Linked DNA regions of Arabidopsis thaliana. The protein of the gene in region 2 interacts with the protein of the main gene of each other region in a pairwise test. Each region holds a gene or a part of one and is shown on either strand. Other genes may lie near its edges. The genes, in order: CYCP2;1, CDKB2;1 and CKS1.

What was found.
Region 1: the proteins of CDKB2;1 (region 2) and CYCP2;1 interact in a two-hybrid assay, tested with the Arabidopsis thaliana proteins (one study listed by BioGRID).
Region 3: the proteins of CDKB2;1 (region 2) and CKS1 interact in binary tests that used the Arabidopsis thaliana proteins (3 or more experiments, as listed by UniProt).

Annotation. Positions count from the first base shown.
Region 1 is NC_003074.8:7,703,288-7,706,629, forward strand, and holds CYCP2;1 (cyclin p2;1), read right to left. Parts: upstream 1,672-3,342; 5' UTR 1,527-1,671; coding exon 1,141-1,526; intron 887-1,140; coding exon 640-886; 3' UTR 512-639; downstream 1-511.
Region 2 is NC_003070.9:28,719,751-28,724,548, forward strand, and holds CDKB2;1 (cyclin-dependent kinase B2;1), read right to left. Parts: upstream 2,801-4,798; 5' UTR 2,602-2,800; coding exon 2,375-2,601; intron 2,081-2,374; coding exon 1,939-2,080; intron 1,848-1,938; coding exon 1,786-1,847; intron 1,673-1,785; coding exon 1,561-1,672; intron 1,470-1,560; coding exon 1,376-1,469; intron 1,276-1,375; coding exon 1,206-1,275; intron 1,118-1,205; coding exon 979-1,117; intron 900-978; coding exon 804-899; 3' UTR 578-803; downstream 1-577. Other genes in the region: AT1G76530 (Auxin efflux carrier family protein), read left to right, coding at 65-318, 400-524; AT1G76550 (Phosphofructokinase family protein), read right to left, coding at 3,150-3,444, 3,528-3,631, 3,743-3,859, 3,940-4,044, 4,155-4,211, 4,289-4,333, 4,428-4,538, 4,650-4,723.
Region 3 is NC_003071.7:11,909,925-11,913,411, forward strand, and holds CKS1 (cyclin-dependent kinase-subunit 1), read right to left. Parts: upstream 1,879-3,487; 5' UTR 1,620-1,878; coding exon 1,567-1,619; intron 1,492-1,566; coding exon 1,431-1,491; intron 1,129-1,430; coding exon 979-1,128; 3' UTR 645-978; downstream 1-644. Other genes in the region: CKS2 (CDK-subunit 2), read right to left, coding at 2,536-2,673, 2,981-3,041, 3,136-3,188. UniProt on the Arabidopsis thaliana protein: Associates with cyclin-dependent kinases (CDKs) and plays an essential role in the regulation of the cell cycle that affects plant growth rate. May inhibit both the G1/S and G2/M phases.

The DNA.
Region 1 (3,342 bases), on a different chromosome or scaffold from region 2:
AGCTTCAGCTTTCAGATATGGGGCACTGTTCTCGAGCCTCCTCCCTGAACTAAGAGAGAAAAGAGGAATTTTACTTTTCCATTAGAACACAACTAGGCAAAGTCAATTTGTTTGGACACGTGTCTTGTTAAACACGTGGTGGTGGATGAGCGTGTGAGACCATTGTTTTTTATCATAGGGTGCGATGGATCTGATCTGTACGAAACGGTGCGTTTTGCTCTTATGTAAAGGAAATTTTACACGATAAACCGAAGACGATTGGAGGAGTAAGAAAACTAGGAAACTAGAATTGGATTTTGGTTTGTTGTTGTTGGATACTTAAGTCATCATGGAGTATCATTTTACAGTGAAAAGAAGAAAATAGAGAGATGAACCTGAAGAACAAAACAACATGTGCAAAATGTAGGAAAAAATAGCTTATATCATTTAGTTGAAATCTACAAACTATTTAACTTAACAGATTTACATTGTAAAATCTCTAGTATACATAGTTTGAGATTTCAATTATTTTTCTCTAGCAAAAATTTGAGATAATTTCTTCAAAATATAAATAAAATTTCGATAGTTAGTGCGTAAACTTTTTCTGTCAACCAAACGCGTTCAGTTAAAAGTTATATTAAAAAAATTCATATACATATATCAAACATATAAAGATGATAAAGTAGATGCTGGAGAGAGACTTTCTTGCATTGGTTGAATATCTTTGAGGGAAGAAACGGCGTCGTTTAGTTGCATCTCTTTTTCGAGGTGAAAGCAATAGCTCTCGAAAACTCTAAAACTCACAGTAACTCTAAAGTCAAGAAGAAAGAGAAGCTCCAACTCCATTTTGTTCAAGTCTGCATTGCTTACGCCTCCAACCCGAGCATAGAACTCGTTGTTGTAGTGCCTGTGAATATGAAATTTGTTAGAAAAAACGAAAACCTCTCTTATCTCATCCAATACATGTTGAAACCTTGAAATCAATAACTTAAAAGGGGCACTTAACATACATATAGGTACAAAGTTTGTCCTCATTTTATATTGGTTAGATATAAAATGTATCTTTCATTTTGTTAATCAATTAAGATACAACTATGATCTATAGTTTCATGATTAGTCTAATTTCAAGATATTATAGAAATTCAAGAAAGGCTTACTTACACGTCATCTAGTATCTTGGCAGCAATCATGACACAAGTGACGAGGAGTCTATGAACATTCAAGGAGACAACCAAAGAACCAGGATGCTTATGAGCCAACCGGTCTATGTACACATACCCAACAACGAAACATGCCGGGCTACATTTTGTGTACTTATATATCCTCTCAAGGTATTTAGCTATACTTATGCTCGGCGCTCTCACGCCGTGAAACGCCTCCAAGCTCTTCCCAAATCCCTTAGTTTGCTTAGCTAACCACTCGTTTCGTGCCACGAGCTTCTCCATCACATGGGAGATTATAGTCAGCACTCTTGGAGTGGCTGCTTCCGTTGCCGATTCTGGTCCCACGACCGGGTCCAGTTCATCGTCTCCGGCTGCGGTTAACATGGGTTCTCTTCAGTTTTCGTTAATGGGCCATGTTGTATAGTTCGTTTTGGGTATATATGGCTTGTAGATTGGGTGGTTGAGATACGATGAGCTTAAGATGTTACGTGGGGATGTTATCATGTTTCGTCTGACTTTGGACGAGTGTGAGATGGTTTTGACACGTGTCACTTCGCGAGAAGATAGGATTCCGATGATTTTTGTATACCTTGAGCAATGAAATTAGTTATCATTTATCAAACAAATAACTTTATTTTCCACTTAATTTTCTGCATATTACTAGCATTATTACCCAAAATTAAGTTTCCGGGTCTTGGTCCATAATTTTCTCGTCCGGTACAATTTCCTTTGAAAAGTCTCACAGTACACAAATTTTACTACATACGCTGGAATATATTCTTGATGTAAATACTATATATAGATGTAAATTAATGTTAGATACATTATTTGAAAAAAGGCATACGCGTTGCCGGTCACTGCATACATGTTTAATGTTTTGATAAGGAGAGTTTATGCATAGGTCATATAATGTTATGTGGCCATTTTTTCTTATCTCTGTTTTGAAGTTCATTTATCTTTGTTTACGTTAATAGTTATCATGTTTCTTACTTTTATCTATCAAATCTATATATCATTTTCTTTGCATAAGGCATTTTTTTCTTAAATTGTATCCTTTTAAATAGTTAGGTTGGTGTGCAACTTCTTAAAAAGAAAAGTTAGTTCTTTGAGGATTATATCAAAAGATAATTACTAGTTCAAATTTTACAATTTTCTTTTAGAAACAAATTTTTTACGAAATAGCTGACAACATTTTTTAGGTTAGGAATCCCAAAATTTGAGGGTAGCCTGATCAAAAAGTTAGAAATGCTAACAACTTATTTCTATTCAAGAGTCAACTGCATAGCCATTATACATGCATGTACATTAAACTGATGATAATATAGAAGTTGATGTGGCCTAGTCTATTTCAAATGAAATGACTCAATGATCTCACATCTATATATCAAATGTTAGAGATACCAAAAGACATCACACAATTCAGAAAAACTGATAACTCTTTCAAACTAGTTGAGAACATATTTTCGAAAAAGAAACGTACGTGGCTCAATATTCAAGTAAATTACGACATGTATTACACGTATAAACGATATCAATAAATTTATTGGGAACCACAAGTAAGTAACACTAGTAATAGCTAGTATCGACCCGAAACAACGAGTTTTAAGGTTTGCCACAGAGCACAAAATCTATCGAGCAAGAAAAAAATCAGATAGTACTATCTTGACAAGCGATATAATCACAATTACCTATGCATGTCTTCATAATAAATCACGTCAAGGCTCATAATTACGCCACGTGGATTTTAACCGCGTGGACACACGTTTTCACAAGGTATAAAAGAAGCAACCCTACCTCTCTTTCTTCTACGTGATTCGCACACCACTGTAAAAGTGTAAAAAAACTCTTTTTTTGTTCTTCTTCACATTTCATTCGATTCAAAAAATATTCTGTTCTTAGATTGTAATCTGTTTTTTTTTCTGTAATCTCCCATTATTGGGTTTTGAATTTCTCGTCATTTTACGAAAAAGGTTGTGAATCGGCCTAATCGATCTCGGTCGTCATAAGTGAGTGCTTCTTCCTCCGTATTAGCTCTCAAAAACATTTGTGTTTCTATTTGAAACGTAACAATTTACGATATTTTTCCTCACAAATTAATGTAATTGAAACACAAAACCCTATCATGCATGATGCACCCATATATTACCATCTTTAATTCCAAAATCATCATTTTCCTTCCATGATTTGTATCTGAAATGGT
Region 2 (4,798 bases):
TCAACAAATGATTCATCTCTTTGAAAAACTCACTTTTTCTGTGTCTTGTTTCTTTTGGCTAAAGAGATGGGGCCATTCCTGCTATGACCCTGATTCTTGGAGGAAACTTACTTAAAGGAATGAGGAGGTCGGAAGTGAGGAGTTCAGAAATGAAAAACTCCTGCATTATCGGCGTCTTGGTAGCTCGTTACATTTTGCTACCTGTAAGCGGTGTTTTACTCGTGAGAGGAGCATACAAGTTGGATTTAGTAACCTCAGAACCCTTGTACCAATTCGTTCTTCTTCTTCAGTATGCTGTCCCACCAGCCATGAATCTAGGTGCATGGCTTGAAACCAACTCCTTAAAATACAGTTACTTCTTTCAGATAAGATACATCACTAGTTTCCCTTACTTTTCAGGTACAAAGACCCAATTATTCGGCGCTGGGGAGAGTGAATGCTCTGTGATTATGCTTTGGACTTACTCTTTGGCTGCAGTTTCACTCACTGTTTGGCCAACATTCTTCATGTGGCTTGTGACATAAATCCCCACACTCGATCTTGTTATATGTATCCATTTATTCAAGAACTTATTCTTAGACTTCCAGATGACTGGATCATTATAATTGCGAATAGTCTTAAGAACATTAAAGCCGTTAATCCAAATATTCGAATAGAAAGAAACAACAATCAGAAGTGATATATTATGCTAAAGAAAGGATGATTCATAGAGGGGGAAGCAGCACACTAGAGATATGCTTGAAAGAAGCAAAACTAGAAAAACCATAAAACTTGGAAAGATACTAACTGAAGATTTTAAATCCTTAGAGAGAGGACTTTTCTGGCAGATCATCAAAGTAAGGATGCTCCATAGCCATCTTTGCTGAGATTCGTTTCGCTGGCTCGTACTGCAGCATTTTCTGTTCCAGGAAGATAAAAACGCAATTAGTTCGTCTGTTGAGTTTGTTTTGGTAGCTAGTTAATAAACTTTAGACTTACAGATAGAAGATCAACTCCAGCCTCGTCGAGGTTTGGAACAGCAGAGGATAGAGTCGATGGTTTCCACTGTGGGTATTCATGCCAGTTCTTGAGTGTGCTCACTCCTGGCCACATTTCTTCATTGGGTGTCCCAAACAACCTGAGTTGTACACCGGAAAGAGCGGCAAAATGAAAAAAGGTTTTCTTATGTTTGTCATGTAAAAGGTGAAGAATCAACAAAGACTTACTTGAAAATATGGAGGAGCTGTTGGAGCTCAGAGTCTCCCTGAAAGATTGCTTGGTTGGTCACAAGTTCAGCTGTAAATGGTGAAGGAACAATGTTAATTGTTGTTGTTTAGTAACTTAAGATGATATCGCAGTGACTAGTGAAATCAACGAGTCTGAAAAGAACACATACCAAATATGCAGCCAACAGACCACATATCCACAGCTGTAGAGTAATGGGTGGCACCAAGAAGAACCTCTGGAGCTCTATACCAAAGAGTTAATATCTGTTGCAATGAACAACCGATTCAAAACCATAAGTTCTACAATACATACAAAGTGGGATAAGTGCAAGAAGCAGTGTCAAACATTGATTACCTCATGGGTATACTTCTTCATTGGCAGAGTGAAGGCTCTGGCTAAACCAAGATCTGCTATTTTGAGCCTCATTGTCTTGGGATCCATCAAGAGATTGTGAGGCTTGAGATCTCTGTTTTGAAACAAGGAGAAATAGTAAGAAGAAGAAATCTCTCTTCCAAGTTATTATCTAAAATCATTCTCACTTAGAAGTTGAAAACAAGGGAAAGCCAGAGAACAATTCACCTGTGCAATATCCCGTGACCATGGCAGAATGCCATACCTTTGCATAGTTGATACATCAAGCTCTGCAAATAACTTTTCAGAATGTTATGTTTGGTTCAAGTGAGCACAAATGAAGCGAGAAAGAGAGATGACAGTAATAAGGTGGTTAAAAACCTTGATAGTTTGGGTTGGAATGTTCTTGCCAGTGCTACGGAAACTTCTGATGAATTTCTTGACATCAGTGTCCATGTATTCAAAAACCAGGTACAGTACAGTTTTGCCTTCTTTGCTTAGTCCTTGCTTAACATCCATTAACCTGAAAAAGATGACAAATAAAGTTTCCGTATATAATTGATTTTGCAATCACTGGAAAACTAACTGATACAGCGATCCAGATCAAACTCTAGGGAAACATCTATCAACAGTTTCTCAGAGCCAAATCATCTAACAATTAGTAGACTCTTCGAACTGATTACTACGATTTGAAATTGAGATCTATCTAATCTGGAAAACAAGCGAGATAGTGAGAAATCGACTATATAAACCCTAACGCGACTACAAGATCGAGAATATGGGGGCAATTTTATCGAATCAGAGGTAAAACCCTAACCTGACGACGTGAGGATCACGAGCGAGCATTCGCAAAATGGAGATCTCGCGGAGAGTGGTGGAAGGAACGCCTTCTTCGTCCTCATGGAGACGCGTCTTCTTTAGAGCGACGATTTTCCCGGTAGCTTTCTCTCTGGCTCTGTAAACTTTCCCGTATGTCCCTTCACCAACTTTCTCAAGCTTCTCGAAAGCATCCATGGCGGAAACTGCTATAACTCCCTCGTCCATCGCTCTCTAAAATTCTTCTTCTCCGGCGCTCTCTCTCTCTCAGTTGGTTCTTATTGGGAAAGTGAATTGTCGGAGATCAAAGTGTAGATAGGTTATATAATTAAATGAGACCTGAAATTATAGAATCCTTATTCTTGGGCTTTCACAACGGACTGATTTTTCGAAATTCAAACTGGAGCGTGGAGGAGCGGTCTTTTCATAAACGCCTTTTTTTAATTTGCCACGTACTATAGTATTTAATTTTAATTTTTACATTTATTCATTTGTGTCCACTTGTCATATATATCCGTAGGTACTTTGATTTGGTCGCACCATATACAAATTATGATCGAGAAGGCAACAAGAAGATTAGTGAACCCAAACACAGACTTCTTCATTAAAAAAGCATTACTCAAATCCTTTAACTTTGAATATCCTTTTCCTAAACTCAACTTTGAACAATAAAGTTTGCGTAAATCAGAAGACGACTTCAAAATGGAAAGAGAGAGAGAGAGAGAGAGCTAATGAAGTTTATGGTTAAAGGGAAAACCAAAACAATAAAAAAATCTTTAAGCAAATTGCTGACCGCTGGTGGAAGAAGATGAGATCGTAGTGAGAACATCAGTCACCGAGGCCATAACACTCAATGCCGCTTTCAAAACATCTTGAGAGCAACCCGGTTTCACAATCGTCCTCACCTGATCAAGATACTCCTGCAGCTTCTTGATTTTCCCCATGTAATCCTGGTCTTCTACACACAGACTTACCGCCTTTGCATCTGCACCTGGACCATCATACTGGACTGGTCCTGGGTTTCGGTACATATCTTCCATCAAGAATTTCTGCGCGTTTTGTCTCAATAGACTGCAAAATCATTTGACAAATTATATCACTTGATTTCATGTTCATTCTAATCTTTGTCTAATGAGTGAGGAACAAAAGCTTACTCGTATGCTTTTCCTTTCAAGTCAACTGAAGCTGGATGAATTACAGGTCTACCAATCGTAGTAGAACCAGAATTTTGGGACCAACGCTTAACCGTCATCATTGCCTAAGGTTAAACAGAGAAAGAGATTGGGGTCAGTAAAACTGAAACTTGAAGTCAGAAATCAACACATATACTAAACAACTTTAGCCTTATAAATAAGAGACAAAACTCAACTGAGATAGGCGCAGCCCCGCATTTCCATTTGTTTACAGGACTCTTCAGGTTAGTCACTGTCGCCATGTAACCATTCAAACCAGCTGCGAGGATGTGGTAACATACATGTCCAAGAACCTGCATCAAAGTTATAATCAATGGTGTGAATGTCCATAATATTGAAGTTGCAATAGCATTTTAGTTTGGCGATCACATACATAGGCGTAGTCACAATCGAATTTTGATGGAAGAGATCCACGAGCTTGGTAACCAAAAAAGTGACAGATAGCGTTGAATTTCTTCCCTTTGTAGGTTCCTTCTTTCTGTCATTTTCAAAACTTAGTTTTAGGGACAACTTGAATATTCAGGCAAGGTTATTCAAAAAAATTTGAAAAAAATGGATTGTGACAAGTGAAAAAGATGTGCAACATACCAAGCGCTTGTTCATTTCAGTCTCCACAAGATAAGCCAGAAGTTTCTCCGTCTCAATCTAAGAAGAAAGTAAATGAGCAATTAGAATTCCAACTTTTTATAGCACAGTAACTCCATCATTTTCTTTCTTCTTACCTGGGATAGCTGAGCAGAATCATCAGACTCGGGATGGAGAAGTAGCTGCAGAAACAAAGAAGACAATTTATCATAAGAACACATACTCGTTTACATGTGAGAAAAAACAAAGAAAAGTACCATGTCAAAGAATTAGAACCTGTTTCTTAATGAATGGAGGCAAAAACTCAAACAAAGCAGATGACCAAGATGACAACTGAGTAGAAATATTATCAACCTGCACACCCTCCTTAAGCAATCCATGAATTTCCTGCATCGCACAACAACATGTAAATGCTTACTATGTTTTGGAACTCAAGAAACAATAAAAAATAGCACATTAAATGATAAATAGAAATGTTTGCCAGTATTGAATCGTTACCTTCAACAGAGCATAGAGTTCAGGAATACTCTCAACAAGCCCTTCAGGAATTAGGATGACTCCATGATTTTTGTCTGATACAAATAGACAGTTTATCAATAAAGTTAGGGAACAAGCAAAAGACATCACTTCCAACATACCAAAAGCTC
Region 3 (3,487 bases), on a different chromosome or scaffold from region 2:
CAAAATGACCTAAACATTTTCTTATGCAAAATAATCATAGAGTAACATTACAGTTTTTTCCACATGTTTTATTTTTTTATTTTTTATTTATTTTACCATTACAGTTCTTTGCATATGTTATAAACAAATCTTTATTTAATCTGATGACACTTTATTTTTACAAAGTAAATGTTGCTTTATAGTTTATACAGTATATAAAAAAAATATTTATTATGGACGAGTGCTATTTAACACTATGACACACATTTTACACACTTAATACATCTTAAAACAAAACGACACCCCAGTAATTACTGTTTACAATTTTGTCATTGAAACTATTTTCCAAAATATGTTCCAGATTTTGGCTATCTAGCAAACTAACCCCTAATTATAGAAAAGAAAGTTACCAATGTAAAGTTTTAGCCACACAAAAAGGAAAACCATGATAACCACAATAACATCTAATTTGATTTTCGAGTCATGTATCTTTTTACTCAAACCTCCATCCAGATTCAACACCATTATAGTTTGAGGATTTGATTCGATAGCAACTACGTTTGTGTTCTTCATTGAAATGTAAGTTTCATACTTTCGTTATCAACAAAAACAATGGTTATTCTACAAAACTAGAGCGTAAAAGTTATCAACAAAAACTTTCTTTTTCTCTTTCATTTGTGTTCATGGTTGAGTGGAAACATGGGACACATTGTTCTCAACTACTCATGCCTATCCAGTGACCATTTTACCAATATATCTAAAAATCAAACACATAGTTGGATGACACTAAACTACCACCAAATGTCTTGAGAAATAAGTAATTAAGAAGCAGAAGATGACATTAGAACCAAGACTAACATTACATAGAAGTTGTTCAACAAACCAACTCTCACATATTCATCCATAACCACAAAGATTCAAACCATGTTTACAAGAAACATAAACCAATACTCATAGAATTGTTGCATATAACATTCTTACTCAGGTGATGATAATGATTCACTTAACAAGCATGTTCTGAGCTTGATTCTCCTGCTGCTGCTGATAGTTAAGAGGCCTCCTGAATAGCATTATGTGCGGCTCAGGTCGATGAACCGCGTAATGTACCCATCCGCGGCTTTGCTGCACTCCTATCGCTCGCCATTCGTTCTTCGAAATTCCAAACATTTTTACCATCACCACCAATCAATACAACATTGAAGAGATTGCACAACACAAATGTCTAAAATCTCTTTATCACTAAACCTTACAAAATCCCAAAGCAAAGATTCAAAATCGTAACAGTTGCAATTTGGATTCAGAGCAAAGATTCAAATCCTAAACCTAAACGATCTCTTTTTCGATTTTTCCCAAACTTAATTTCTTAAGAGCAACAAATTTTCATAGTCTTCGATGATCTAATCGAAGGATTTAGAATCAGAAATCAGAGAACAATGCGGAAAAAAACTTACTTCGGAGAGAAGACGATTCTTTGGAAGAAGTTTAGCGACTTCAGGAGGAAGAACGACGTGCCTGTATCGATCGATTACGATTAGAGAAGTGAGAGTGAAAATTGGAGGAAGAAGAAGCGAGATTGAAGAGCTTTACCTGTATTCGAAAGTGTCATCGAAGTATTTCTCGGAGTATTGGATCTGACCCATTTCTCTCTCAGAGATGTGAAGCCTTAATCAGGAAATGGAGGAGAAGGGAAAGAGGAATTGAAGAATCTGTAATCTGATCGTTTGAAATTTGGGGAAGATAGTGAAAGGAGAATAAAGTGGTTTGGGGTAGATATGTAATTATGAGGAAATAGAGGGGTGTTTGATTAACTTTTTAGAGTTTTGAAATTCTTTAGAAGACGCCGATTGGGTATGAATGATTATAAACCGGTTAGTTACCAAAATGAATTGAAATTGGGTGGATTGGTTTGGTTCTAATTAAATTCAACAACTTGTTTGGTTGCTTTGACCAAAGACCTTGTTATTTACCATCAAACTACGAACTCGTTCATTTTCTCGAAATTTCATTTAATTCCAACAATCAGTGCTTCACACTAGGTATAAGATACATATCTAGTTAATTTATAAAAATGGCTCTGAATCTCCTGGTTTCAATACACTAATAGTAGTACAGTAAGGAATATATGGTGTTTGGTGAATGTGGTGATTGAGACACAATATGAGTTTCTTTGAATCAGTATCGCCATGAGAATCGTGATTAGACCTTCAGATTGGCATTGTAATGATACCTTGTTTGTTGTTCATAGTTATGGACTTAAGACTCTAAGAGGAGCAATAAAAAGAGGTTGAAATGATGAAACAAGCACATAAGCATGAGAAATAACGTCTTCATTCTTAACCATGAAGAAGTTCAAACGTGGATCCAACCAAAGTCTAGCAAAGGACCAGACTTAACATAACATTAAAAGTTGTTCTACCAAACTCACATGATTCTCCACTGAAGAGAATTCATGAACACAATAAAAAAAACTACAGGAACAAAACATCAGAGTAGTATTTTAAAACCTCGTTTACGAGAGACATAAACAGAGATTAGGGAGAATTTTGCATAATTCTTCTACTTAGCAATCTGAGCTTGGTGCTCCTGCTGGTAGTTAAGAGGCCTCCTAAAGAGCATGATATGTGGCTCAGGACGATGAATCGCGTAATGAACCCATCCACGACTTTGCTGCACTCCGATGGCTCTCCATTCACTCTACAAAACCAGATTGTAAAACAAGAAAACTGTTAACTTCAAAATCAGAAAACTGAGAATTGACTGATAACACAAAAAAATATCTAAACTATCTTCGTCACTGCTGACAATTACACAACCTAAAGTTAATAAACAAGTTAATGAGAAGCAAAACTTCAAATTCCTAAGCAGAAACTTCAATTTCTTCGACTCTCAAAAGTCCAAACTTCAATTTCCTAACTTAATTTCTTAAACATGTAAATCTCTTAGCCTACGATGATTCAAGGGTTATACAGCGAATAGAGGAAAGCCCTAATTTTTAACTTACTTCCGAAAGAATACGATTCTTAGGTAAAAGCTTAGCAACTTCCGGAGGAAGTACAACGTGCCTGAGAGAAAAATAAAAGACCACGCGATTAGACTGAAACTAAAACGTGAGAGAGAACTCCATTAAAATGGGAGGAGAATCAAACTGAGAATCACCTGTATTCGAAAGTATCATCGAAATATTTGTCGGAGTACTGGATCTGACCCATCTTCTTAAATCACCCAACAAACGTCTATTAAATTTACTAAACAAAAGAAATGGAGCAATCTGTCAGTAATCTAAACCCTAAACAACGACGAGAACCTAAACAAATCAGAAATCGAACCCTAATCTAAGAATCGGGAAGTAAAGCAGACCTTGAGAAGAAGTGCGATCGGAAACGAAATGAATTTTAGGGGAGAAGAGGGAAAGCGAAAGGGAATTAAAAAGGCATTGTGGTAAGGAAGTAATTATGGGGATTTATAGGGGCATTTTCTCAACGGGTGTTTTGATTTTTTTGAGTTTCAA